Oryzias latipes: one gene and its partners. The protein of the gene in region 3 purifies or fractionates together with the protein of the main gene of each other region. This does not show direct contact. Links are inferred from orthologs where the notes say so. Each region holds a gene or a part of one and is shown on either strand. Other genes may lie near its edges.

The links.
Region 1: the proteins of exosc10 (region 3) and exosc1 purify together in Homo sapiens (co-immunoprecipitation; 8 studies listed by BioGRID and IntAct, counting the BioPlex papers as one, with this or other methods). This does not show direct contact. The link is inferred for Oryzias latipes from reciprocal best matches to the Homo sapiens genes EXOSC10 and EXOSC1.
Region 2: the proteins of exosc10 (region 3) and exosc4 purify together in Homo sapiens (affinity purification with mass spectrometry; 9 studies listed by BioGRID and IntAct, with this or other methods). This does not show direct contact. The link is inferred for Oryzias latipes from reciprocal best matches to the Homo sapiens genes EXOSC10 and EXOSC4.
Region 4: the proteins of exosc10 (region 3) and exosc7 purify together in Homo sapiens (affinity purification with mass spectrometry; 6 studies listed by BioGRID and IntAct, counting the BioPlex papers as one, with this or other methods). This does not show direct contact. The link is inferred for Oryzias latipes from reciprocal best matches to the Homo sapiens genes EXOSC10 and EXOSC7.
Region 5: the proteins of exosc10 (region 3) and exosc2 fractionate together in Homo sapiens (co-fractionation; 9 studies listed by BioGRID and IntAct, with this or other methods). This does not show direct contact. The link is inferred for Oryzias latipes from reciprocal best matches to the Homo sapiens genes EXOSC10 and EXOSC2.
Region 6: the proteins of exosc10 (region 3) and exosc3 purify together in Homo sapiens (affinity purification with mass spectrometry; 8 studies listed by BioGRID and IntAct, counting the BioPlex papers as one, with this or other methods). This does not show direct contact. The link is inferred for Oryzias latipes from reciprocal best matches to the Homo sapiens genes EXOSC10 and EXOSC3.
Region 7: the proteins of exosc10 (region 3) and exosc9 purify together in Homo sapiens (co-immunoprecipitation; 7 studies listed by BioGRID and IntAct, with this or other methods). This does not show direct contact. The link is inferred for Oryzias latipes from reciprocal best matches to the Homo sapiens genes EXOSC10 and EXOSC9.

The regions. Positions count from the first base shown.
Region 1 is NC_019859.2:28,378,248-28,382,324, reverse strand, and holds the start of exosc1 (exosome complex component CSL4), read right to left. Parts: upstream 2,801-4,077; 5' UTR 2,724-2,800; coding exon 2,696-2,723; intron 863-2,695; coding exon 747-862; intron 481-746; coding exon 406-480; intron 1-405. UniProt on the Homo sapiens protein: Non-catalytic component of the RNA exosome complex which has 3'->5' exoribonuclease activity and participates in a multitude of cellular RNA processing and degradation events.
Region 2 is NC_019875.2:26,759,988-26,763,728, forward strand, and holds exosc4 (exosome complex component RRP41), read right to left. Parts: upstream 2,256-3,741; 5' UTR 2,192-2,255; coding exon 2,021-2,191; intron 1,266-2,020; coding exon 1,059-1,265; intron 974-1,058; coding exon 617-973; 3' UTR 501-616; downstream 1-500. UniProt on the Homo sapiens protein: Non-catalytic component of the RNA exosome complex which has 3'->5' exoribonuclease activity and participates in a multitude of cellular RNA processing and degradation events.
Region 3 is NC_019865.2:9,473,456-9,476,955, reverse strand, and holds part of exosc10 (exosome component 10), read right to left. Parts: coding exon 3,499-3,500; intron 3,418-3,498; coding exon 3,349-3,417; intron 3,270-3,348; coding exon 3,164-3,269; intron 3,088-3,163; coding exon 3,014-3,087; intron 1-3,013. UniProt on the Homo sapiens protein: Catalytic component of the RNA exosome complex which has 3'->5' exoribonuclease activity and participates in a multitude of cellular RNA processing and degradation events.
Region 4 is NC_019869.2:5,727,888-5,732,155, forward strand, and holds the start of exosc7 (exosome complex component RRP42), read right to left. Parts: upstream 2,801-4,268; 5' UTR 2,719-2,800; coding exon 2,662-2,718; intron 2,569-2,661; coding exon 2,467-2,568; intron 2,395-2,466; coding exon 2,300-2,394; intron 1,619-2,299; coding exon 1,453-1,618; intron 382-1,452; coding exon 311-381; intron 232-310; coding exon 108-231; intron 34-107; coding exon 1-33. UniProt on the Homo sapiens protein: Non-catalytic component of the RNA exosome complex which has 3'->5' exoribonuclease activity and participates in a multitude of cellular RNA processing and degradation events.
Region 5 is NC_019870.2:12,830,056-12,834,061, forward strand, and holds the start of exosc2 (exosome complex component RRP4), read right to left. Parts: upstream 2,801-4,006; 5' UTR 2,562-2,800; coding exon 2,440-2,561; intron 2,241-2,439; coding exon 2,139-2,240; intron 2,012-2,138; coding exon 1,966-2,011; intron 1,841-1,965; coding exon 1,751-1,840; intron 1,661-1,750; coding exon 1,595-1,660; intron 1,502-1,594; coding exon 1,433-1,501; intron 268-1,432; coding exon 91-267; intron 1-90. Other genes in the region: ric1 (RAB6A-GEF complex partner protein 1), read left to right, coding at 3,761-3,901. UniProt on the Homo sapiens protein: Non-catalytic component of the RNA exosome complex which has 3'->5' exoribonuclease activity and participates in a multitude of cellular RNA processing and degradation events.
Region 6 is NC_019868.2:3,163,611-3,167,678, reverse strand, and holds the start of exosc3 (exosome complex component RRP40), read right to left. Parts: upstream 2,801-4,068; 5' UTR 2,769-2,800; coding exon 2,526-2,768; intron 205-2,525; coding exon 55-204; intron 1-54. UniProt on the Homo sapiens protein: Non-catalytic component of the RNA exosome complex which has 3'->5' exoribonuclease activity and participates in a multitude of cellular RNA processing and degradation events.
Region 7 is NC_019859.2:5,412,190-5,416,243, forward strand, and holds the start of exosc9 (exosome complex component RRP45), read right to left. Parts: upstream 2,801-4,054; 5' UTR 2,359-2,800; coding exon 2,293-2,358; intron 1,864-2,292; coding exon 1,769-1,863; intron 1,687-1,768; coding exon 1,567-1,686; intron 1,483-1,566; coding exon 1,380-1,482; intron 1,309-1,379; coding exon 1,171-1,308; intron 1,098-1,170; coding exon 1,015-1,097; intron 1-1,014. UniProt on the Homo sapiens protein: Non-catalytic component of the RNA exosome complex which has 3'->5' exoribonuclease activity and participates in a multitude of cellular RNA processing and degradation events.

The DNA of each region.
Region 1 (4,077 bases), on a different chromosome or scaffold from region 3:
GATTTTGAAAGTCTCCCTGTGGTTCAGCAACAGACAGAAAAGATGTCAAACTGTGATGCTAAATGCAACCCAGTTTCAAATGTGGAGCTGCTTTAGACTAGAAGGGAGTCTACAGCTGTGAGTTTAGTTATGATGTTTTTATTTATTTATGATTTTAAAAACATGCAGGAAAACAGCAAAGACAAAGGCAGGAATACTGAATCCATTTACCACATGTATTTTGTCATCATCGCACTTTCTTCTGTTTAAAAAAATAAATTTAATTAATTATCTATGATAATCTATATTTCTAATCTGCAAACAATTCCGCTACCAAACAAGCACCATGAATGTGACAAAGTCCTGGAAAAATCTCCTAATGAGGCTAAAAGTGTAGGTCCCACCTGTGTCAGCCCCCCCTCCTACCTTACAGGTGACGATGGCGCCCACATCTGGCAACAGCTGGACTTCTGTTTCTCTGACCACAGAGATCACAGGTAACTGTAAAACACCACAAACGTGCACGAGAACCAGTGCGGACCAGACTCGTCATCACCCCGTTCCATCCCAAACTTTGATCCCTCTGGATTAGAGGGTGGGTGGAGTCAGGCTAATGGTAAGGCTGGACGATAAATGAACTACAGTTTGTCCCCAAATTTGAAAAAAATTAAAACAAAATACTCTCTCTCTTTAAAGGAAAATCCCCTTAACTACAGACTTGGAAGATGTGTCAACAAGTCAACTCTGCTAGATCCACCCCTCCTCACCTGCTCCCCCTCATTCTTCTTCAGCACGTAGCCTGCAAGAGAGGAGTAGATGTAGCCGTGCCGCAGATACACTCCAGTTCCCAGAATGCAGTCCTCCACGCTGCACAGTTTGTCACCTGAGACACAGATGGTCAGAATGAAGGTGGGGCTTCCTGCCAAACCACAGTAAAACCACAGGATTTACCTGTTTTCTAGAGCAGATTATCTGATCAGGTGTGTTCAATCAATCAGAGCCTGTCATGTGTCTGCCCCCCCCCTCTTGTTTTTCTTTCAATATTGATAATTTTCCATTTGAAATTATTGCAAACTTTGCAATAGTTGCTTCGTTTTTCTCACAGCAGAGGCACAAAGCTCCTTTATACATATGCATATGCAAAACAGCAAACAATAAACAATATTATTTATTACATTGTTGTTTTTGAATTCCAACAAGGAAATAAATATTATAGAGATTTCATAAATAGTATATTGGAAGGGGAGCTAGAGTATATATATATAACTGAATGTTTAGTGAAATAATCTTCAGGCTCTAAGTATGTAAAATACAGCTCAGATTCAAAGGTTCATTTATGAGTCCATTCCATGTGTGTGGAGGGGCATGACATCTGCAATTATACATTTGTTTATTCTGCCATTAGTTTAAATGACAAATATAACATTCAAGATGTATATTGGATCCGATTATTGAAAAGGTTCCTCAGGATGTTCACCTTTTCCTAGTTTAACATTAAATGCTTTGTTGTTTCAATATTTACACTATTAAAAAGACACATTTCCAACTACAGTTTCAATACGTCTTTTCAAAATTGATTAAACAGGTAAATACTGATTAGTATAGGGGTGTCAAACTCATTTTCACTGAGGGCCACATCAGCATAACAGCTGCCCTCAAAGGGCCAGATATAACTTATACATGTAACCAAATGTAATGAAAGATAGACGTAACTACTCCTTAATGTTAAATAACTCATTTATTAAATATAACGTTTTATAGTGACAATTACAGTTGCATAGAAAACATGTTTGCTTGTTAATTTAGCATAAATCCTTCTACATTTTGTCTGCTTATTAAAACCCACGCTCAAACTGTCCAAGTGAAAAAAGAAAAATAACTTAAAACTGAGCTAGAAAGAAGATTAATTACACGTGTAACATTTTACAATAAAAGGCTGCTCACAGCCTTGCATCCAACTGATGGTTTGATGACAACAATTTGTCTGCATACACACACAAGACCGGCAAACATTGTATAATTACAACTGCAGCTACACAAATAATATGTAATCAACTAAAAAAACATTTCATTTTAAGAAATTAAAAACTTTCATGCTCCCGCGGGCCACATAAAATAACACGGAGGGCCACATTTGGCCCCCTGGCCTTAAGTTTGACACAGTAGTGAATGATGATGAACTGTTGTACAAAGACAGCAGGACTTAACTGACTAGAAGCTGTTTCAGACGAACACCACATTTCTGCTGATGCATGACGCAGCTTTCAATAGTCAATATTCTAAAATGTTGTACCCGTCCGAACTTCTGAAGGGGACCACATGGGGCCCCGCTATAACCACGTGATCCTAAGGATCGACTGCATAGTTTTCGGGGGTGGGAAAAGTCACAGTCCTTCACGTGTCGAGCCTTCCCCGCCCCCTCACGTGTCTCGGAGCTCAGAAAATGCGAGCACGCGCCCAAACTAAGTAAGAAAAGGGAAATATAAGCATGCACACAAACGCAAATCTACGAATTTACTACTACCTAAACGATGAGTGCGCAAAGACGAGCTAAATCGCGCGTAGCTATGGCAGCAACATTTACACGTTATACCGCTACGGAGAATTTTACGCCATTTTCTGGCGTCCCAGTGACAGACTCACAAACGGGATTAACAAAAAAACAACACACAAAACCAATAGAAAACCGCTAAAAGCGGTTTTTACGGAGACTTACCTGGAACGCACAGCCTCGTGGGAGACATGTTTGCGGAAGACGCGCACCACTCAATTGGCTCTTTTCACGGGCGCGAGGCGACTCTGATTGGTTAATTCAGAGTGGGAGGGTGTGTCCGAAAGAGGTGCGCATGGGCATGAAACGTGACGGTGTAGCAGTAAACAAATAATTTGGTTAATTTTGTATCGATATATATATATAATTTTATTTGGAAGTAATTTAATATTTTATACAATTTAACAAAAACTTTTTTATTAGAAGTGGGCTGCATAAAAAAGAGCTTTTAAAAACGATTTTTTTCTCGTTTCTAATTAGTCTTTTGGGTTTTGTTGGCAAGTTTAATTTAGAATTATTTCTATAAATGACAAAGTTGTTAATTCTGCTCAAATAAAATGACTTTGTTCTGCGCACAAACGGTAATATTGCAAATGTCAACAACTCTGAACAACAAATTTAATGTCCATTCAAAGTAGAGAATTTGTGACTTAATGAGCAGAGATAATCTGTCAAACTAAGTACTGGTGTTCCCCTTTTTTTGTTTTCTTGCTTTCTTTCTTTTTTTTTCTTCTTTGGGAGGGAGGTCATTTAGTTTGTGTAATGATCATCAGACAAACAGCTTTGGTCAGTCACTACATTCAGTATGGGGCAAGACTTGAAGATCATGTGGTAAACCATGTCATATCAAATTAAATCAAACTTTATTTATAAAATAGTGCTTCTCATGCGTTTGTGCAGCTCGAAGCGCTTTAGCATTAAAAACAGAAAACACACAATATTACAGTAAAAACCCAACCCACCCTTCCCACTCCCCTCTGTTAAAACATATGAACTATGGCCTGGATTGCAGGAAAACCATGCAGAAAGAGATTTAAAAAAAGACCTTTGTGAGTCTACAGCAGAAGTGCATATACAGTGTCTTCATTTTTTATTAAACTCCAGTTTTCTAAACGCCATTCGTGGTATGTAATGCTGTCTCACATGGTATTGGGAAGCACTTTTAGAGTAATCTGTCTCAATGAAAACATGTATAAACCTTTTGACTTGATTGTTCAAAGATGCTGGAGTCATAACTTGTTATTTTGATGACACTGAAACTTTCACTGACATAAATACTTGACTTTGAAGATCAATTCATCCACTTTGATTAAGGGATTTGCTTTTGCAGCTTGAACTACCCATTTTTTAACTACTGACTTCCTTTCCAGAATTTGACTTTCCATTCTGAAAGAGTGACTCGCTTTTGCAGGTTGTGCATCGAGTTTTGCAGTTTGAAAAATCTGTTTTGAGAAATGCCTTAGAAGTGCTGCAAACTTTAATACTGTAGTGAGAAACGTACCAATGCGACTAAGAAATCTGTAGTCCTCCAAATATTAGGGAAAAAA
Region 2 (3,741 bases), on a different chromosome or scaffold from region 3:
CTTTAAAAAGTAAGTTACATTAATACCAATTTTGTTTCAGCAGGTAAAGAAAATGATAGATTATTCAGCCTCAACGGACTGAAACTCTTACAAAACATGTATTGTATTGTGACATAAAAATTACTTTTACAACAAACAAAAGCAAAAGCAGAATAGCCTGTCTGCAAAACAAATCAAAGAAAATTAATCTAAAAAAAAAAGACTAAACACATGAACAGAGCATTTCATTCAGGAATAAAAAGTATTGTTTTGGTGAAAATTTGTAAGATATCAACACAGCTAAATAAATTGGATATAAGAATTATCTAATTTTTCACAAATTGTTTACTCTTACGGATGTGTGGTTTAAAATAAAGGTTCTTATTGTATCAGTCTGAAAACAAAGCTTTATTATCTGTTTATATATAAAATGCTGATGTTGCTGTTTCAGTTGATCACATTGATTTTTGCATCAAAAACAGGTCAGTTTTCAGCTAATAAAACAAATGCAAATACAAAGAAACGATATACATTCACATTTATTCTTTATGCACAAATATACTTAATAAAATGTTAAGAATGACGACAAAATAAGTGTTGATCCCAGGAAACCATTTGTTTACTCTTTCCTTCACCATTATTCTCTGAGCGTAGAACCTTCTTGGAGATGTTGCCTGACCACCTGGTCCAGGACTTTGCTCACACCTTTACAAGCGGTCATTGCCGCCTCAATCAGAGTGTCGAGGTGATCCTGATGCAGTCTGGCATCCATCTGGACCAGAGCGATCTGCCCTCCGCGGGGCAGAAGCGCCAAAGCCAGAGAGCTCACTCCTCCGCTCTCCTCTGCGTAGCAAAGATCGGCAAGAGAGGTTTCATCCACGAAGCCCACTGTGCAGGCGCACACATAGTCCCTCATCGGTATCCCTGCGTCGATCACTGCCAGTGTGGCGGCGTTCACACAAACGCTGTAGTTCCCCCCGTCGGACTGAAGAATCTTGAATGATGAAAACGTTCTTAAAACAATGACGAAAACAGATGCTATGAAGTAGAGCGCAGTATACTATAAATCTAAGGCCAACCTTGACATAGATGTCTATCTGGGAGCGTGGGTAGAGCTGGGTCAGCACGGCAGCTTCAAACGTTTGCTTGAGGTGAAGGCTCATTTCTGTGGACTTGCGGTCTCCGTGCGGTCTCCTCTTCCTCTCCGCCGTGCTGAAGGTGGCCATGCTGTACTGGCAGTTGATAATGGCTCTGTCATGAAGAGCCCGACTACGAGCACCTCGAATCTGAATGGGAAACAGGAAGTAAGCATAGGAGAACCATAAAAAAGGTCTGACATTTTTCACAGGGCGGCATACATCTGTCCTTTGAGTAAAACAGCTTTTTAATCCATCATCAGAGGTAAACCAGACAATAAAAACGCCAGACATGGGAGAGTTTGAGGTCAACGGCACAGATGAGCAAAAACAACATCTCAGGTTTTCCATCAGAAATATCGATGTTCTACAAGATTTAGGAAAGACTTTCAGGACAGAAAAGATAACCGTGAAACATTTTGGGTGATGTGCCTCGCATCACTCTAGTGTAAAACATTGCACAAACAGTCAAACATGGTGGTAATGGTGTCATGGTAAGGGGCTGTTATATTTGGGGCTTGGAATACTTTTGGTAAATGAATAAATTAACCAACAAATCCTCAAATTAACTTGGATTTCTCAGCAAGTCAAAGATTCAAAAGCAGTAAGTTTACCTCAGAATAGCATAACAAGTTCAAAAACTCTTGAATGCAGTTGTTAGTAAGTACTGTGTGACCGAGCCAGATAAGTAAACATTTTGTGTTACTGATACAATAAAATGCTTTGAAGGAAACGTATTATACTAAAATCATTACATTAATGTAAAATATCCCTTTAAATCTGACACATTACATAGAAATATCTTAATCCTTCATTAAACGCAGTTTGCACCGTTTCTTTGGCTGCCATGAACAGACTGGTGGTGTTGTTTTTACGTCACTTCTCCACGCGCGCGCGCCACTCACTTCATGCGGGCCGTAAACCACCGCCAGAGCTTTGGTGTTTCCTTGCTCCAGATACGCGGAACCGTCGGCCTGAGCGAACACCCCCATGCGGGCCTGGACTTTGCGCAGCTCGGTAGCTTTTCTTCCATCCAACCGGTATCCTTGATCAGACAGCAGCTCCAGACCCGCCATTTTCCCTAGCTTAACTACACGACAACACACGTGTCTACTGATGTACTACATTAACCATCATCCTCTTCGAGCAGTTACAGCAACGTCGGAAGAAAGTGTCGCAAAAAAGATTTCCATATTTATTTTACTTAGATGGTTTAGTAACAACTTCTTACTGGAAAAGTAGCCTAACGAAACATTTAGAAAGCCTTTTTTCTTATTTTATATTATTTTTAAATCTAACTGATACGTCAGAACAAAAGAAGTAGATAAATGCGGAACTACTAGTACGCGAGTCAAAACTAATTAATAAAATAAATTAAAATCAGGAGCTGAGAAATTACACACGGCATGCAGTTTTTACATTTAAGAATTCTGACTTTAATCTCACGACTCCGATTTTTAATTTAAAATTACAAGATAAAATAAGACTTTAAGCATTTTAAGTTTTAGGAATTCAGATTTATAAATATTTTCAACACAATAAACACTTCATTTAATGTCAGAGTATTGACATAATCTGATAAAGATTAATCATGATTTTAATAACTATTGTTTTTTCTTGGGAATGTCAATTTTAAAATACTGTCTTTAAATATAGAATTTTGATATTAGAGTACAGCAACATTTTCTGAAATTACTATAAGAATTCTTTAAAGGACACCTGCAGATTTTCTCATTTTCTTTTATTTTATTAATTTTTGCCCCTGACATCTTGACAAGTTTTACAGGCGCTGCAGTTTGTTTTATCTTCTGTCTGAAATCAGAACCCAAGTCAAAGTATATTTATTTTTCCAAAACATCTTGGTTTTCAAATTTTAAAAAGTAAATCCAGTGTTAATCTTTTTAAATAAAATGTTTTAGCATTTTTGTAAATTATACAGAAGATATATTTTCATTTCTGATGTTAAAAAGGATTCAATTCTATTGTCATTTATTTTTCTAGTTTAATTTTAATATTTTTGAGCGCCAATCGTTCGTGATCATTTTAAATCAGATCAACATCTTTCACTTTTTCATATTTAAAAAAAAATTTGTGTTAAAGCATTTGATAATTTACAAATATGAAGTAGACTTACCTTGTAATGCCATATTTAAAATAAGTTTTTTGTGTGTTTTTAAATTGATTACAGAGTAAAGCTTTTCACCTTTTAAAACGTGTTTAAATTGACTACATTTTGGCCTGCTTTGTTAATATTTCAGTCACACAAACTGCCTGCCAGCATTTCACTTTAAAGCTTTTATCAGATCTCAGACGACATTCCAGCCTCATCTTCCATCTCTTCATTCTGTTTGTTGCTTCATTTGTTGTCTTTTTACCTTTAGATTTGCTTTAATATCGCATTTAACATCAAAATCCTTTCCATCGATAAAGGTATGAAGATGAAGATGAAAAGATGAAGCCTAAGAAAAGGAGTACAACTCAAACCTCAAGAGTTTTAAAAATAAAATTTATTAGCATCTCTAATGTGTATAAATAAAAACATATATGAAACAATGCATATACGTATAATGCAATGAGCTCAACAATAACAAGATTATATGTGATATGACGGAGCGGTCTTTCGTTT
Region 3 (3,500 bases):
ACACAAGTGGACCATAGAGAAACATTTAAAATGTTAGAAAACTCTTCCAGACCACAAATTTCAGGTGGGAATTCGGGTTTTCTGATTTTTTTTGTTTTTTTTATTTGTTAAATGCTGCTTAGCCAAGTTTGTTTCATCGTAATGGGTTAATTTTTTAAAAAATATTTTCGTTTGTGCATCTGTAAAACACTCAGAACAGTCACTGTGAATAAAACGTTTTGGAAAAAAAAAATCAGGCTGTTATTCTCTTCCTAATCTAATTCGGAAGCTTTGTGAGCTACATCTCACCTTTGAGGTTTGCCTTCATGTAACAGGTGGCAAAACCAACAACAAGGACAACAAAACAAGTGCTGCCTGTGAACAGATTTCTGAGCTATTAGTGAATCTGTGTTTTTGAAAAACCAGCCATGAGAGCCGAACGGCAAAGAGGTGCTAGCTGAAAGTACTAGTGTGCTAACAGCCAATATTTGCAAGTGGCTGACAGGTGGCACACTGTATGTACCCTGGTTGTTATAATTTACAAGCTTTATTGGTTCTTTTGGGTAGTTTTAATTAGGTAGCCTTGACAAGGGAGCCGGTGATTCAGACAATCTGTACAGCCGAGTCGGCTGCATCCATGTTTTTTCATAATGTTGGTCAACCTTCCATTCTGTTCTTATTTTGGCTTGTTTTTTTAACTAAATCATCTACACTTCTTTCTCTTTTAGGACACAGGTATTCTTGAAAGCACTAAATAAAATTGGTCCCGTCTTCTGCTGGCGTCCATCACATACGTCATCGGCTATGGCCCTTCTTTGGTTTCCTAGATGAGTGTTTTTCAGCCAGTGTGCCGCGGTACACATGTATGCCATGAAAGATCATCATGTATGCAATGGGAAGTTATCTAATTTCACCTAAATCAGTGTAAAAAGCATTCACTATTGCAATGACATCAGCTCTGTGTTCATCAAACTTTCAGGCTTCAACAGAGTTTTAGTGTCACAAAAACAAAAAAAATAACATTACGAGATTTGAAGTAAAATATTTAAATATTTTGTGGGAACAAATTCCTACTGTGTGGGAACAAATTATTATTTTGTGGGAAAAAAAATATTTTTTTTTACCCATGTCAGGTGACTTATTAGCAAATCAAACGAAGGTTTTTTCTGAGTTTTAGTTTATATCACACCGAAAAAAAACTGCAATTTAAAAATCGAGGTTTGAACCTTTGGGAAAGTGAATCGATGCATCCTTACTGAACGCTGCCGCAGACGGAAGTGAGTGTGTGTCTGGACCAGTATTTTTCAACTTTTTCGAGCAAAGGCACACTTTATCCTTGACAAAAAATCCCGCGGCACACCAGCATCCAAAATTGAAAAATGGAGAAACTCTATAGTCTGTTTGATGTACAGTTTCTCTGCAATCTCATATGCACTGTTGTGATAATTGTGGCAGAAAAAGCTGGAAGTTGCAGCTGTTTCTTCTAAAAGATGTAATAAAAGTTAAGTTAGTTTTCAGTAATTATTTTGAACTAAATTATTTGAAAATTTACCCTGGTAGTTGTTTTTCCCTTCAGTTTACTGACATGCAATTTTAATTAACCCCACAAAAAACGAAATATATTCTTTCTAAATAGTGATTTAGAAAGAATGACATATAAAATAATCCAGACCTCATTAGAAAAGTGTTTCAGTTAGAAAGATGACTTGGACCAAACTCTGGGATGTTTGGATGTTAATAAACACAAACCTTGAAGGAGAACTAAACTGTTGACCTCTGATTTCATCAAGAAGATTTAAAAACGGTTTGATGTGGGTTCGTTGTGGTTTCAAGACGTTTAACAGGGAGGACTCACTGAGACGCTGTCACTTTAACCCAATGCATCATGGGAGGTGTAGTGTGAAACAGACGCCGATCGCAGACACTCTCTGAGCTTCATTGTTTTGTTCACTTGCTCCACGGTCTGACAGCAGATCGTGCAGAAAGCTACACCGCTTAAGATGAGCTTTAGCTGGTATTTTTGTTGGAACTGAGAGACTTTATGAGCTAAATCGGGACAAGGAAGTCTGGACTTTAACCACTTCTGATTGGTCAGACTGATGACGTATGATTAAGCCTCCAAGAATGATTGGTGGAGACAGTTAAAGGGGTGGGACTTTTCCGAAAACAGAGCTGAAGCTACGGCTAAATCACGGTACCGTCATTCTTAGCAAAATGTCTTTAAAAGAATCAAATAAACACAAAGTAAAAGTCTTTTACGATCTTTCACATTCCTAACTACTCAGTTTTATCAGGGCCTGTTTGGATGAACACAGAGCTGATATCCTGGAGATGGGAAATGTTTTTAGATCAGTTAATGGGTAGTTTCCCACGGCACACCTGACCATCTCCCACGGCACACTGGTTGAAAAACACTGGTCTGGACAGTAACACCTGTGACATTCAAGTGCAGCTGCCAAATTTTCTGATTTATGACCACCAGGATTATCTGTAGCAGTTGGACAAAAAGCTTTGCTCTGTGGTAAAAGGCTTAACTGAAGTGTTAAACTGGAAAGAAAAGAAATCAGAAAAGTTTAATATGACAGCGGGGGTGCGAGTAACTAACTAAAAGGAAGCCAAGTAATACCCCCTGAGGAATGGAACTAGCAGCAGGAGGCTGCTAGTTCCTAGAAAAGAGGCTTTGTTACTCAAGAGGAACAAAAATGTGTCCAATGAATCTGAGACACTTTTATAACACCCAGCCCACATGCTGTACATTTTTCCTCCTCTATAGGATAGAATATTTAACATGGCCCCCATTCTGTGTTTCTGCAGACCCGTTCATCTGATGGGGACTCACTGTCTTGGGAAAATATAAAGTATCACACAGAGTTAAAGTAGTCATAAACCTACTGTCCTTTCAACGCTGTTGCGGGCCCTTGAGTGAATCCAGCTAAAAGAATATGCCATGCCTTCCAACACAGACCTGAGGTGCTTGTCTGAAGTTCAAAAGAACAAAATGAACGGAGAAACGAGGAAATGTAAAAAGACTTACTGCTGCCTGCTGACGCACAGTGGCAACATTCTGAAGAGACTCCTGGTAGCTTTGTTTAGTCTTCGTTCTTTTCTCTGAGAGAATTCAACAGATAAAAAGTGAGGAAACAATGCTTGAAAAGGTAATGTGTAGAAAAGAAAAGCCAATTACCTGAGGCTTTCTTTGCCTGTTGCTTTGCTTCCTCTTTGGCTTTTTGCTTAGCCTCTAACTCTTTTTGCTGCTGTTCAATGCTCTGCAGTTTCCACCTTTTGCTGATCTGTCAGGGTGCCAAAGTAAGCAAAGCACATTAAAAACAACAGCGGTCAATATATTTCACAAAAAAGCTCTTCAGGTACCTCAAATATTTTGGAGGATGGGTCAAACTTGGCATTCTTGTTGACATGCACATCGGTGGAAGGTAAATACTGGAATAAGAAGCAATAAATTATTATTCTGCCAAAGCACAAATAAAGAATTGTGAAGGTTAAGCTCTTGACATTTCCTACCA
Region 4 (4,268 bases), on a different chromosome or scaffold from region 3:
CAGAGTCGCGTCCACTACGTGTCTGTGGCCCACCTGCTCAACGACAGCCACTCTTCACAAACCGTCGCGTTTACGACCACGGACTTCACCTGCGAGCAGCGGCTCACCTTACACAGCGTCACGATGCAGGGAACATTTTCCACGCTCAGCCTCACGCAGTCAAACGGGTCGTCTGAAAGCTCCACCTCCTTCCCGCCTTCATCGTCCGACGACATGTGGACTCTAGGGATTCTGGGGGAGAAATGATGGGAGCACAGGATGAGCTGAAAACGTCTCCAAACACGACGAAATGTGAAAAACTGATACACACTTTGTGTTGAAGAGTGCCGCTTTGATGGCGACAGAGATGGCGTCGTACAGGTTGCCGTCACACTGCAGCAGCTGCAAACAAGACGATGCAAACGCCTTTATGAAGTGGTGGTTTTTACAAATCATTTGAGGCCTTTGAGGTGAAGCTCCGCCCCTTCTCAGGCCGCATTTCTTCTAACTGGCTGACTGACTAAGTAGACCTCACTTCCTCATTACACATCAGCTGCCTTTCAACTCATTTAGTGTTTCTTGAGTCCGACAAACCTCCTCCATGAAAAACAAACTGCATCCACTGCAGGCCGGTATGACTATTTGGGGTTTAAGGAACAAAAAATAAAATAAAATACATATTTCTTGATACTTTCACAAGTTGAAGTGCTACTATGGAGTTACATCAGTGTCTCTTAATTATTTTACCCAACTATGAAGAAATGACGCTTAAAATTAGAAAGAAAAAAAAACAACAGCATATAATTATGAAACTAGAATAAAAAAACTATAAACCTACAGTGAAAATGAAATAAAATTAATGTTTATTAGAAACTGGTATGTTTTTGTTAGTTAAACAAACGAAAAAACCAAAACTTCACTATATAAAACGGCAGCTGCTACAAATGAAGATCATTTTTTATTTGGTAACATTTGTAAGTTTATAGTTTTTTTAGTTTAAGTTTTAAATCTACAATCTTTGTATCCAATTTTCTGTATTTCTTCAAGTTTAGAATGTATAATTTCAAGTTTAACACCATTTCAAAACATTCTTCTTTTTCTTTTTTCAAGTTTACAACCTTATTTTTTCTTAATTTTAACCTGATTTGACCCCATCTGCTACCCCTCAGCAGCACAGCAGACATACTTCAGCATTTCATTTTTAATGCATACAAGGTAAACAAAACACTTGCTTAACTTTATTTAAAAAAAAAATCTAAATGCAGCAACAAGTTTTTCCTAAACAAACAAAAAACATGTAAATGTCTACTTCAACCTGTTTTTTTAACCCAATTTTTTACCCAAAATTCTAAAAAACTTAAAAATCATAAGATTTAGCATTATTACTGAATTTACGTCTATTGTTGTTGTGTTTATTGTTTTATTTTTAACATTTTTATGTTGTGTTTATATTTTTATGTTAAAGAGACTCACCAGGACATCTACATAGAGAACCCAGCAGTGCTCCCCAGCACTGATGCAGAGGCCCTTCAGGTCTATGCTGTTCTTGTTGTTGAAGACTCTGTAGAGAGTGTTGCTCAGCTCGATCCCTAGCTCCTCACCTCCTCTGCCTTCAAACTCGGGGGTGGCGTTGGCAGAGCTGGGGGTGTTGGGGAAAAAAATGTCAGGGAATCAAAAAAAAACATCAAACATTGACAATAACTCAGTTTGGTTCCGATTCTTAAACCAGAACAGCCCGGCATGGTCCTCATGAACACCCTCTACGTCTTAAAGCTGAATACCTGGATCAGGTGAGTTCAGCCAATCGGAATGAGGAGTTACAGAATCAGAAGAAAGCGGAGAGAAGTGGGGAAAACTGAGTCAATGGTGCAACAGTTAATCCCAGCAGTTATTAGTTTAGGAGTTTATTATCCTGCAAGATGATTTAAACAAAAACAGATATCCAAAATAAACTTTATTTTTAAAACATCCTCATTACTTTAAAATGCTTCGCAGGACAAAGACATCCTTCAAACTTCAAAAACAAACACAAAAAATATTTAAACATGCATTATAAGCTTTAGAACATGTAATGATCTCAACAAAAACATCAAGAGAGACTTCCCAACTTAGCCAAAAAGAAATCAAATATGTAACGGTTTAGGGTTCAGGTATTTCTAATATTTATATCAAGCCAAAAATGCAAACATTATTCATTTTAATAAACTATAGAGGCTATTCAATGTTTTTCTTTACTGTTTTGATGCAATACAATTCTGTCAAATGTCAAATTGTGCACATTTTGATGTCCAAACCTGCTTTAAATGCACACTAAACCTACCAATCAACAAAGAACTCCAGGTATCCTTCATCTGGAACCAGTGGTCTTGGTTTTCCTATTTCTGCTTTAATCCCAACCAGGACGGCGGTGTGTCCCTGAGAAGCACGATGGAAGGAAAATAAAGACACTGTTTCTGCGGATCTTTCACACGTAAATGTTGATTTTACCAGGGAGACTCTGGCAGATCCATCAGTGTTTGAGACCACATCCGTCTCCACTTCCATGTGTCGGTAGTCCTCACAGCTTCTTCCATCCACACGTAAATCATCCTGAGGAGAATACAAACATCCACATCTTTAGGTTGGTGTGACAACTTCACAGACATTTAGCTTAATAGAGCACACATTTCTAGAACAACTCACTCTTATTCCGTGTAGAATGTACACCTTTTCAGCCTCGCTAACTTTAACTGTTGCCATGTTAACTCAACAAACAGAAGAAGAAGAAACGGTGCCGGGAGGCTCTTCTTCTACAGTTTTCTCGATGAAGGAACTATGTCGCCACCACCTGGAAGAAGTGGGAGCTGCTGTTCAACATCACAAAATTTAATAATAATAATAATAATAATAATAATAATAATAATAATAATAATAATAATAATAATAATAATAATAATACAAAAACAATAATAATAATAAAATAATGACAATAATAATACATTTTTGAGAGTAATCTTTTTTTTCTTCTGTGTAGGAATGTAGATGCTTGTGCTATGTTTGTCCATATCATAAAGAGTATATAGACAGTTTTAAAATATATTTCTATTTAATTATATTCAGATTTTTTTATATTTATAAATGCACATATACAAAACAAGTTAGGGTGAACAATCGTTATAAATGCGCATATTGAAAAAACAAAACAAAATTTAAAAAATATGATAAAGGCAAGGCAAAAAACAATTCAAAATAACAGTACGTTTGATATATTTTGATAAATTACTGTAGTTTTCTTGTTTTTGTTTGGAATGCATTTAAGACACTTATAATAATCAGAAAAGTAATTCAAAAAATACCAAACAAAGGGCATGTAGTTTTCCATTTACATAAATGAATGAAATTTTTGCATTAAATAATAACAACATTAATGACATCAGAAATTCCTGGGTCCATATTTTCCATATAGAAAATAACAACAGATAAGGAAAAAAGGGAATATTTAAAACTTTGAGTGACAACCAATTGTGAATATCAGTCCAAAATATTTTTATCTGTAACTGTAACAGAGATGTTCTAACGTTTCAGTTTCAGATTAACAGAATAGGCATGGCTCCGATTGAAATTTGAATCTTTTATGTAAAAAAATCTCCAACAGGGTAAATTTGAGATATTATTTTAAAATGCGTTTCTTTCATTTTAGGTGGAAGTGGGTACTTTGTGTATAAAGAAAAAAATGTGTTCATTAGGGTGGTTTCTAAGTCCCGTCTATTGTTTATACTAAAGTTGCAGAAAGTTATTTGTTTAAAGGTTAGAGTTACTAATTTATTGGTGCATTTTTTTTTCATCTTTTAGGGGAATATCATTAATTTTCAGATCTGTAAATTGTGGTTTGATTGCATTGTATTGTAGTATGTATTGTCAGAAATATGATTATTTGGGTGTTTTTTGGAAGTACTTGTAAAAAAAATAAAATGATTTTAAATGGAAGAAAAATTGCCCTGCGTTTTGGCCAAAGGGGTGGATTTAATTTTAGACCATAATCTGATTGGTCAGTTTACAGGAAGTCCTTCCCGGGTTCTCTCCTGACAGACCATACCCAGGGCGAATCTACTAGGGGTAATCAAACTTCCTGGTTGGGTATGGGTGCGTTTTTATTCCTCCCGCAGAGATTTCTGGATGAGACCCTTCAAGAAAACATAAAATACAGTGACTTATTAAAGTTTAAGTCGAAGAACTAGCTAGCAAATTACCTTGTTAATTAAACGGAGACCAGAAACCAGGAAGAAGCCATTGAGTACACGCGTTAGCGG
Region 5 (4,006 bases), on a different chromosome or scaffold from region 3:
GTTAAAATATTTTTAAAACAATTAACACTTTTTAGATGACACTTTTTGATCATTTTGAAACATAAAATATTTATAAACCTACAAAGTTACCTCAAGACTGGTGTAGAAACCTCCAGCTTCCTCCTCTTGTTGTCCCAGTGTGGGATACAACCACACAAAGCCGTTATTGCCAAGGATAACAGATGCACCGCATGGAAGATTATGGAAGTGACTTTTCTGCCTCTTGATCAGAGAAGGTGAAATTTGCACCAGCACTCCCTGACCCAGCTAACAAGAATACAGAGACCCAGAAAAGAAAAAAAATGATATACCGGTACCTATAGGCTACGTTCACACTGCAGGGCTTAATGCTCAATTCTGATTTTTTAGAAAAAATCCGATGTTCTTGCAAGGCTGTTCACATTTCCAATTAAATGCGAACTTTTGTGATTTCCTGTGTGACCGTGAAATGACCCAGAAGTGACCCGCATGCGCAGAAGAGTACTCAACGGGGAACGACATCACTCGTTGTTTGCGGAAGTAGCTAACGTTAGCAATGGATGTCAACTACAGTGTTGTCAACAGCGGAGCTCTTTTTGCAGTTTACATTTATTTTCAAGATGGAGCCAGCACAATTACAATCTTCTCATTTTAAGAAGGCATTGGAGCCAGGATCGTCTGTACCCACTGTGGTGGAATGGGGATGTGTATGTGCTGGGGCCGCGCGAGCACGTGTGTGTGTGTGTAAGAGAGAGGAGAGAGCACGTGCAGCGCAGCATTCCCTACTGCGCTGTGCGCATTCATGTTGTGTGTTACGGAGGAAGGACAACGATAATAAAAAAAGGCTGCTATTGACTCTTTATTAAACTGCTCTAGAGAATCTGAGGGTCCGAACGGGGAAATGAACGCCCAAAGGAGGATCCGCCTTCGGTCCCCCGCGCTTCTGACCACGGTCAGAAAGGGGAAAAAAAAGTAATTGCCAGGAAGGTTCAACCCCACGCTCGGCCATTTCGCTGGAATTTTTTTCAAAAAACCGCCCGGTTGCGATAAGAGCCCTCGAGTTTGGCCTGAATAGAGCTGTCACCCCAAATTTTAATCCAATCGGTGACCTTGCTTGCCTTCCAATGACTGGTCTCACCAGCATCGTCCGGCATGGTTGATGTTCATGTTCTTGTTCCCGCCTACTTCAACGCAGAATAATGACTTACGGGTCGGATACATGTGGCTTGGCCATTCAGACGGAGGTCGCATTTGAAAAGATCTGATCTGTGTCGCTCAGACTGTCATAAAAAGATCAGACACAGGTCGCATAGGGGCAGAAAAATTGGATTCAGCCTGCAGTGTGAACATGGCCAGAAACACAAATTTATTCAACATGTATAACAACAACAGGGAAACAGCTCTGTAAAATTTACCAAAAGGAGATATCAACATAGTAACACTGTGCACTTACTTTTCCATATTTTAAACTGCGAGTATGTAATGACAAGGCTCCATCTGAAAAAACAGACTGCACTTCTGCCTAAAAACAGTGAGAAAATACAGCAAAGTAGTCTTTAGTGACAAAAACTATGAGGGGGAAATGTTGGCAAAAAGACTAGAAAATCCTCTGTACACTTATGAGATCACCCTCCTGAAGATATTCTCTCATGGTCAGCTCATCTTCTGCTGATCTCCTCCTCTGTATAACAAAACAACAACAAAAAAGAGCATGCAGTTCAACTCATCCTGTAACGCTTCTCTCTCGTTAAACAACACAGTTCTGTCTCACCAGCTCTCCTCCAGGCAAGTTTACTGATGACAGCAAGAGGACAGAGTCCAGTCTGGAATTGGTTTCCACCTTCCAACGTTTCTGCTGCACCTGTATATAACCATCAAATCAAACAGATTGAAAAGATTATTAGCAAAAACAGATACAATGAATCCAACAACAAAAAAAATTGTTATCTCGTTTTGCCTTTTTAGAGAACAGTTGGAATAACTCACCTCTGTAATTCTGCCGACCACAACGTCTCCAACCTCGCCATTAAATCTAAAATGACGCACAAATGATCTTAAAGAATGTTTGCAAAAGTGGGGCTAGTCCGATCTGAATGGGTCAATCCACCAACCAATTCTATTGTTCATAAACATTGAAGATTTTTGTCCTTCACACTCACCTGGTCTTCAGTGGTCTGACACAGATGAGTTTGTCCACCCTCTGCACCTCTCCAGCAACTGAAGCTGTCAGCTTTTCTTCATCAACATAAGTGCCATGCCCCCTAGAAAACGACAAATTGTAGTTATGGTTTATTAAAATCATGTAAAGATGTAATTTCTTATCCTTCATCAGTATTCCATCAGATCAAAGACACATCTAAATAAGTTCTGGTGTGTTCTGAGTTTCTTTTTAGCATGTAGCTTACCGTACTACATCAGCGTGGTATCAAACACGTGTTCCAAAACGCAAGCAGAACCTACCTCATAAAACCTGTGTCCGAAGTGATGATGTCTCCGGGAACAACGAGATCCTTTCGGTCGAAAGCGGAAGCTGACAGAGACACCGTTTTCCTCACAGTCGGTAATCTCATATCAAGAGCCATGCTGTTACCGCAACTCTTCTGGTTATGGCTTCTTTCACACTCGTTTAAGTCAGATTTAAGTTTAAAAATGCAAAAAAAAATGGTGTACGTAGTTATTGAATCTTTGTTTTTGTTTTTAAATTAACAAATGATTACCCTATAAACTTGTAATAAATGCCAACCAAACAGCATATTATGCTAACACAAAACTTTCCTCCACTTGCTTCTTTGGCGTCTTAAAAGCGTGTTATAGCTACATTAGCACCTCCTTGTGGTATGGAGTTACTACTACAGTGTATCTTGTGCAGCACATCTTGAAATAATATCCATCCTCACAAATATTTATTTTTTATTCCAAATTAGAAAAAAATTCCGTTCTTTTTCATGCAGTTTGGCACCAAATTATTGTCCATTAATGTCACATTTGGTCTTCGATAAAAAGAAATCAGCTGAGTTCTGTTTCTTTTTTCGTATACTGTAACTTTATCATGTTGCTCACATTGCTATTTGCATGAGGTCATATTTATTTATTTAATTAAATATTTATTTATTTAATTATGAACAGTATGGGACTCCATATTTCTATTCTTTCTTTTTTTCATTAAAGAAATTAATGAAACTCCATGACAATACATTCTTTCTGGATGTCTTCTCACTTGACCACTAGGTGTCACCCTCGTGTCACGCAGCAGCCATTGTCACATAACAGAGTGGTGACGTTGGATGTCAACATTAAGCAAATTTCGTGCGGCTGACCAATCAGCGTTAAGATGGATAGACTCTTTGTAAAGATGGCGACAGTGAGGCTCAGTGGAGTAAAAACTGGACGCTTATCTCTTAATGAACACCACTGGTCCAGACAGCGTAACAACTGACAAAGCTCGGGGAGCAAAGCGGATTGGCCAGCATACTGGTACAGCGGGCACAATTTAGCGTTGCACGGTGTCGCGACGGGCCTCGCCGCTTTTGTTTTCGGGGACACCGCGCACCGCTCGCTAGCTTTAAGTTTGAAAATCCAATGCTAGCCCGGGGCTAGCCGTGGAGCTCAGTCGGCTGCTTTGGTATTTCTGTATGGAATCTGTGGATTAAACCTGCCCAGCGCCATCACCGGGCTCTTTAGTAGTGTTTTTGTCTCGACGAAAGCACTATGAGTCGCCCGTAGAGGCAACTACCGAGGATCTGGATTGCTGCGCTGCCTGCTCGAACTAAAGAGCGCCGTCATGTATTTTCTAACCGGTTGGCCCCGGAGGTTGCTTTGTCCGCTGAGGAGCGAAGAGGAGCCTTTCCAGATCCAGCCCAGCTCTCAGAGGTTTTACTTCGCCCTGGTGTCAGAAACCCAGATCAGCATCTGGTTCAGCCGGGTAAGTCGTGAAGTGAAGTGAACGCACGCGCTGCTCCAGCTGTCCCTGCACGAACACAATCAGGGGAGGTTCATTTAGTTTCTTTAGTTTATGCAGTCACTGTAC
Region 6 (4,068 bases), on a different chromosome or scaffold from region 3:
TCCTTGGAGTGACTGCACACAGCAGACTGCACACAGAGCCCCACCCACACTCACCTGGACGTTGGGTCGGTTTCGCTTGGTGGCTCCTTCAAACGCCAGGTAAGACAGAGACGCCAGCTCGCTGCCGCCAAAGTCCACCCTGAAGGTGTCTCCTGCTCGGGCCGTCACGATCCCGATCACGGTCTCCCCTTTAGTGGCGACATACTGAGGAGAACAAACCATTGACTATTCGAGAACTGGACTGAAGGACCCCTCCCTCCTCATGCTCCAAACAGGAAGAACCCGCTGGCTCCAAGAAGCCAAAATCCCATTGACATAACTTCTCACATTGAATGTGTGAAACATTTGACAGATTTTATGTAGCCTGCTTTCAAGTGATAGGGGTGTGACCTTCAAACAAGCTCACTCCTGATTGGCCACTATTTTTTATAAACCATTAGGTTTTCATCATCAGAACACAGTAGATTCATAAAGTCGTCATAAAATGTTCATATTTATTACCTTTCTATTTAGGGAAACGGGTGACGTCATATTGGCATCAGTGTTGGGAAAATGACTTCTAAAAAGTAACTGTTTACTTAGTGTTACAAAATTGTAATTAAATTACTTTACTCACCTATTTAGTACGGTAATTGCCTACCGGTTACTCCACTTTTTTTCCTCTCACATACAGATTCTCAAGGCAAAAAACAGTTTTCACAAACAAGATCCTCTTGTCATTCATATAACTTTATATTCAGAGAAATGACCTTGTGCAAATTTGAACCTGGCTCAAGACATAACCTGGTTTTATTAGAATTCAGACAACAATGTGAAAAAATACACAAAAAAGTTACAACACATGTGGTCTATAGGCCACTGCTCAAAGTGAGATGTGGAAACAAATCAGTTACGCCTATGATCACATCTGTCGAATCCACTCTTTTAAAAACACAAAGAATTATTTAATGCCTCCATGTTCATTTTCTCTGACTTAAGGTATTCCATGACAATGAGTTGTGCCTGTCTCTCTCTCTATACGTCTGGCGTTTGTGCAGTTCTGAGCAGCTGCAGGTCTACTGGACCAACACCACCCCAGCACCCACCTGCAGAGTGCATTGAGCGCCAACTCACGCTGACCAGAGACGCAGTCATGTGCAGCACAGAGAATAATTAAGTCAAAATGGGTGAAATAATATAGTAAACGCCAAGATCCGACTTTAGAGATGTTTCACTGCCAACCAACCCATCATCAGTACACGGGGCGGTTCTCTACTCTGCTGCTCACCTGCTGCTGCTCGGGGAGGACAAGCATCTCTGTTTGTTTCATCTTTGAGCCAGTAAGCCATTTGTATGGGTGACGTCACACTACGATTCTCCTAAGGCAGTGTTTTTCAACCAGTGTGCCGCGGCACACTAGTGTGCCGTGGGAGATGGTCAAGTGCGCCGTGGAGAAATTGCCCTCATTAACTGATCTAAAAACATTTTCCATCTCCAGGATTTCAGCTCTGTGTTCATCCAAACAGGCCCTGATAAAACACTGAGTAGTTAGGAATATAAAAGATCTTAAAATTACTTTTTCTTTGTGTTTATTTAATTCTATTAAAGAGATTTTGATAAAAATCACGGTACCGCGATTTAGCTGCAGCTCTAACTGTGTAAGGAAAAGTCCCGCCCCTTTAACTGTCTCCGCCAATCATTCTTGAAGGCTTAATCACATGTCATCAGTCTGACCAATCAGAAGTGCTTAAAGTCTTCACTTCCTTGTTCTTAATTCTGCTGATAAAGTCGCTCAGTTCTAACAAATATACCAGCTAAAGACGAGCTTTAGCTGGTGGTTCATCTCTTAGAAAAAAACAGCCGCAAATTCCTGCTTTTTCTGCCACAATTATCACAAAAATTCACGTGAGATTGCGGGGGGGGGGGGCGCTGTCGATCAATACAGACCATGAATTTCTGCTTTTTTTTTTTTTTTTGGATGATGGTGTGCCGCGGGATTTTTTTCAGGGTTAAAGTGTGCCGTGGCTCAAAAAAGGTTGAAAAACACTGTCCTAAGGATCAATGGAACGAACGCACGCGGACACATTTATTCACAACAAAGTACATTATTTAAGCAAACACAAGTTTGCAAAAATGAAACTTGTGTTTGCATAAATAATCTGGGTCTAAATTGAAAATACGCAGATCATGTGTGGATTTTTTTAAATTCTTGGTTAGTTGAGTGCATCGAATCAAAACCCATATCTCTGTATCAGTCCATATGTTTTAATTTGATAAATAATTAATTTAGTTTATTTTGATGTATTAGCTTGACGCGTATTTGGTTTTTATTTGATTATACTTTGTTATTTGTAACTGATATTTTTACTATTTGTTATATAAAGCACTTGAGGTGGATTTCATCAGGAAGTGCTATCAATAAAGTTGTGTTTGAATGCTGGTTGTGACCGGACCGCTTCACATTAATGCTCTAAACACGTCTCTGGACCGCTGAACGCAGTTTGTTGGGATCTCAGAACCTTTGGTTCGGACCGGTCCGCTCTTACCCGCTTCTGCTGGGAATCGATCCAGAAGGTGAGCGGCGGTTTGTGCCGCAGCACGCCGCTCTTCATCACCACCAGGCGGTCTCCGCTCCGCCGCAGCCCTGGTCCACACACCGCGCGCTCCGGCTTCGCGCTCTCCGACAGAGAGATCGTTTCCTCTGCACCAAAGCAGAACTCGTCCCCCGGAACCAGAACCTGTCCAACTTTCTCCTTCAGAACGGCGAACATGCCTCCTGTCGTGCTCATGGTCGTCTTCTTCTTTTTGTTGTTTATATCAGATCCTTACTTTGCGCCCCCTGGTGACCAGGAGGAACAATAGCGCTTTCTAAATTATAAGAATTTTCCTGTTTAAAGGACACACCTTTCAAAACGTTTTGGATAAATCCAGGTCTCACCAAATTTCCTCTAAAATAATCGTCTTTGAAAAAAGGTAAAATAATTTTCTACAGAAACAAAAAGTAGTATAAAAATGTCTCAATAGTGTAACACACAGACACACCCACACACACGTACACAACTCAAACGATTTAGGAGCACTAAAAAAGACATGCTATGCCTGAACAAATGAAATATTCTTTTGAAATGCTTCATTCTTTACATATTTGCATGTCCTGACAACACAATAAAATAAAAATAGTAATGGAAATTAAAACTATTCGGCTATGGATGTCTGGATGTGTGAACATTACATGCTGATCCAACTTCAATGTAATTTCTTTGAAACAAGTCAAAATGAGGCTCAGTAGTGGGCGTGGCCTCCACATGCCCATATGATTCCCCTGCAATGCCTGGGTACGCTTCTGATGAGGCAGCGGGTGGTCCTCCAAGGGATCTTCTCTGACGCCTGGACCAAAGCATCTGCTAACTCCTGGACAGTCTGGGGTGCAACCAGGAGTTAGTGGATGGACGAGACATGATGTCCCCGATGTGCTCAATTGCATTCAGGTCTGGAAAGTGTGCGGGCCAGTCCATGACATCATTAGCTTCGTCTGGCAGAAACTGCTGACACTCCAGCCACATGAGGCCTAGCACTGTCTTACTTTAGGAGGAACCCAGGGCCAATCGCACCAACATGCGGTCTCACAAGGGGTCAGAGAATCTCATCTCAGTACCTAATGACAGTCAGGCTACCTCTGGTGAGCACATGGAGGGCTGTGTGGCACTCCAAAGAAATGCCGCCCCAAACCATACCTGACCCATTGCCAAAGCGCTCATGTTGGACAATATTGCAGGCAGCAGAGCATTCTCCACCGCATCTCCAGACTGTGTCAACAGTGACTATGCCAAGCTTGGTGTTCTACAGCAAATGTCAAATGTCTCGCACGGTTTTGGGCTGTCAACACAACTCCCACCTGGCGACCTCATGGAGTCTGTTTCTACCATTCTGAGCAGACGTGCACATTTGTGGTCAACTGGAGGTTATTTTGCAGGCCTCTTCCCGTTTCTCCTTGCACAAAGGAGGAGGCAGTGGTCCTGATGCAGGGTTGGCCCCCCTTCTATGGCCTTCTCCACATCTCCTGATGTACTAGCCTGTCTCCTGATGGAA
Region 7 (4,054 bases), on a different chromosome or scaffold from region 3:
CCATGCCTGGTTCACTTCTCCTCTCTGTTCTGGACTCGCGGTTGCTAGGCGACGGGACATTCGCAGATGCAACGGCTGGAATAATTCAAACGGTTAGGCTCATCCAAATTCACAGCTGTTCACATCCGGCCTATTGTAGTTAATTAAAGGTAGTTTATTGAAGGAAGCAGCCCTCGAATTTGGACACACCATGAATCTCACTAAAGACCCACTTTGATGAAAGTGGTGTTTATAACGTGTTCTTGTAGTGTTTTCTCATGATTGAAGACATAGAAAAAGAAGATTTAGCTAAAAATTGCATTTCTGAGAATTTTTTTTGTAATTAGGAGCTGACAAAATATGCAGTTGGAAAAACCCTTTTAACACGTTACTACGGCAAGCCAGAAGCTCCCAGCTCTGTACAGATCCACGTACGTCTCTATGTCTCACCGGCAATGCTACCTTGGGTTTGAGAGGGGGCTGTAAGCTAGCCAGAGAGCCTGTAAAAAGATTTATGATGGGGAAGGGGGGCGGGGTTACTCCACACCAAAACTCCCGCCCCACAAGACAACTGCAGCCGCTCTGCAGAAACTATGTCCTAGAAAACGATACAGGTTTTGTGATTTTGCCTAAAAAAACATAATTAAAAAGACCACTGCGATCAAAAGATGATCAGAGTTCACGATGCCGTCGAAAGTAGTTGTGTGAGTTAAGACAAACCAATAGAAACACTTGTTTGTCAGCTTAAAATGTTTCTTTAAAGAGCCTGGAAGCCTAAATGTGGGAATATCTTGCCTCCTGCTCAAAATGACGCCCTATTCCGCTGCGTAAAATGTCGTGATGCGTTCATGGTCGGCAGATTTTGAGTAGGACGTTTATTTGGAGAAAAAAAACAAGCTTGAATTAAAATAATAAAAAATAAATTCCGATCAAGTCTGAAACTGTGATTTCCGATCATGTGATCTCCAATTGATAGTTTGAATAGTGAGTTTATGGTCAGGAGTTGGGGATGAATCAGGAGAAGTGGATTATTACCCTTGTTGGAAGAAGGAGAAGCTGACACTAATGGGCATGTGGTAGATGCTAAGAGGAATGGGATCCCTCTCCTCTGGGCTGTACTGAAACGGGAAAAGCAACAATGTAAACCGACAGATGAGAAAACGCCGCCTCCTGCTGGGGCTGCTCCCTCACCACCGTGACCTCCTCTCCCTGGACGGCTACGTCGGGCCGCCTGAAATGGCACAGAGCGGCGATGGCGGCGATGCTGGAGGCGTCCATCAGGTTCCCGTCGTTGTTCAGCATGTGGACATCCACCCTGATCTGCCACACCTGGGCGAACACACGCGTTTCAGAGGAAAGCAGACGTCGCTTTGCGAGTCGCACAGGTTTGTGGGAATGACCTTTTCTCCGGACACCACGCACAGGGACTCCGTGTCGATGCACTTGGAGTTCCTCAGGCATCTTTCCAACTGTCTGTTCAGCTTCACGGACAGCTCCGACTGTCTGGATGTGGCGAAACAACAAAAAATGAGCCACACAGAGACAATCGAGGCACAAAACTATAAGGTCATGTGATCCAAAACCAACCTTCCCTGCTCGAAAGCTGGCGAGGCCAGAGGTGACAGCTCGATGTTAAAAAACATGATTCCCTCATTCGGGCGGCTCTCCTTTGGTGCAACCAGCTCACAAGATACCTGGGCCATGACCCTGAAAACACAAAGCTCCGATGACTGAGCGACATCAAACGCACCACGTCCGGTTTTCCCCACAAAGAGAACCTGGGGCTCACCTGGTTTGTCCCAAATCCACAAAGCAGCAGCCGTAGTCCGTCCCAAAGCTGATCTTGATCTTTCTGTAGTCGTAGGTCTGCCGTCCGTCCAGACGCTGCACGGAAAAAAAGACAACGTGATAGTTTTCCCTTAAACTCTTCCCATCTCACTTTTTCTATTCAGTCACCAGCAGAGAGTGAAGCAGTTAGGCTGGATATGAATATATTAAAAAAAACACAGAAATATATTTTTCTCACATTATAATATCCAGATTGTCACTAAGACGAGCAGCATACGGAACCTTGCAGTGATCAAGGCCACAGAAGTACAAAAATTAATCAATTAAATGCACAGTTTTTGTATTAAAATCAGTAAATCAATCATTGATGCTGCAAAAGTCGCATTTTTCCCTCTTCTCTTGAAGATTTCTAAATTAAACCACCTTCCCGGAGTTTTACCGAACTGTTAAACAACTACGCTTTTAATAAAATGTTGTTGTACACAGTAGTCATCAGGGAACTGTTACCGAGGAACGAAAACAAACCTTTTTCTCCTCGATGGCTTTCAGTATAAAGTCCCGCTCGCAGGCGGACAGCGGTGTTTCTTTCATCGTGTGGATTTCAGGCTGTTTGGAGTTATTTTGAAATGATTAGATTCTTTGAAAACCACGCGGGCACGTTTATGTTTATCCGGTTCTAGGCGCGCATGCGCAGCTGTGTACGTTTTACGACAGTAAAGGCTCGAATATGGTTTGAGTCCAATGCTGGATTAAACATGGTTTTAATGTTAAAAATTATCTTAATTTTGAATTGTAGCATTTTATTTATGGTTTCGTACAAATTCATATTATTTCAAACTAAATAGATGGAAACAGAAGACGCCAGCATCAAATACACAGCAGGTTGAATCAACCAATTATTTGTTTTCACATTAAAGGCAACAATTATTTCAGTACAAGAAATAATTTTGTATTATTTTACAAACCCAAAAATATATCCTTATAATTTATATAAAATATCTGCATTTCCTGCGGTCAGACGAGTGTAAAAAGTGTTTACGACAGTTGCGATCGGTGCTGCGTTGGGGTCAACTTGGAAATTACATTGTTCAAGTTTTTGTCTTCTGCAATATAATTGGTTTTGTATTTTAACTTGACAATTTTTTAAGAATACATTTAATACACGTGCTTAATTAACTGCATAAAAATACTAAAAGAAATGATAAATGTGTATACAAAGAATTTCAATCCCTTGATCTTTGCAAATTCTATTTGGCTGTCAAATTTATTTAATATTAAACATTGAATAAATGTTTGCTGTTTGTTTAGTTTGTCTTAACATAAACATAAGAAATGTAAAGGGGAACTTCTTTTAAGCTCAAGCCATTTTCCCCCAATTAAAGTCCTGTAGACTTGAATTCTAAATACATGTTTTTCTTTTTCTTCCTCTATGAATATAACCTTTGACTAACAATGCATTCAATTTTCTGTATTTACAAATATATACAACCAAAGCTGTGTTCTGTTTATTAAAGAATAAATTATTTTTTATGTATTGTTAAATCAAATATTAACCAATCACACCACATTTTCCTTATATGGCAATTAAAAATAGCCAGTAGTACATCTTAAAAGCTTTTTATGTTCATCGGTCTGAAAAAAAAGGAAACAGATGTGAACAAATCCTTGATGATGTTATTTAAAAAAATTATAACAAGCATGCATAAAAACAAATGAGCGAATGACAGCTTGGGTTCGGATTTTTGGCTTGAGCATTTGAACGCATCAGTCGTGCTTCCCCTTCTGTGTCTACTGCGCACGTCCAGTACCGTTATACGGGCTAACTGTCACTCACGGTCCATCCATCCAGCCGTGTTTCCCCTCCGTTTCTCAAGGGAGACTCCGCTCTTCAACCTCAGATCACTCTTGTGCCCTTCTCCGTAGGGCAGAACACAACAACAACCATTTTCAAATATAATAACGAGCTGCAAGAGAGGACGTAAGGACGGTTTGTGTGCGCACGCTCATTCACTCCACTCCATTCATCATGGGCGCGCGCGCGCGCGCAACGTTGTGGCTAGCAAGCTAGCGTTTGTTTTTCATTCATTCGTGGTCTTCAGATAAAACGTTTTATCTTTTCTGTTGTATCACGTTAAATGTCTGCTGCCTCTTGTTTTGCGTCAGCGCGTGCTTACATCCGTCTTCCGCGCGTGTTCGGGTGTCAGCGAAGCTCGTGTTGCGCTAACTTGTGGCGGTCCTGCTGTGTTAGCTGTAGCCCGCGGAGCAGGTGCTGCGGCCGGGGCAGTTC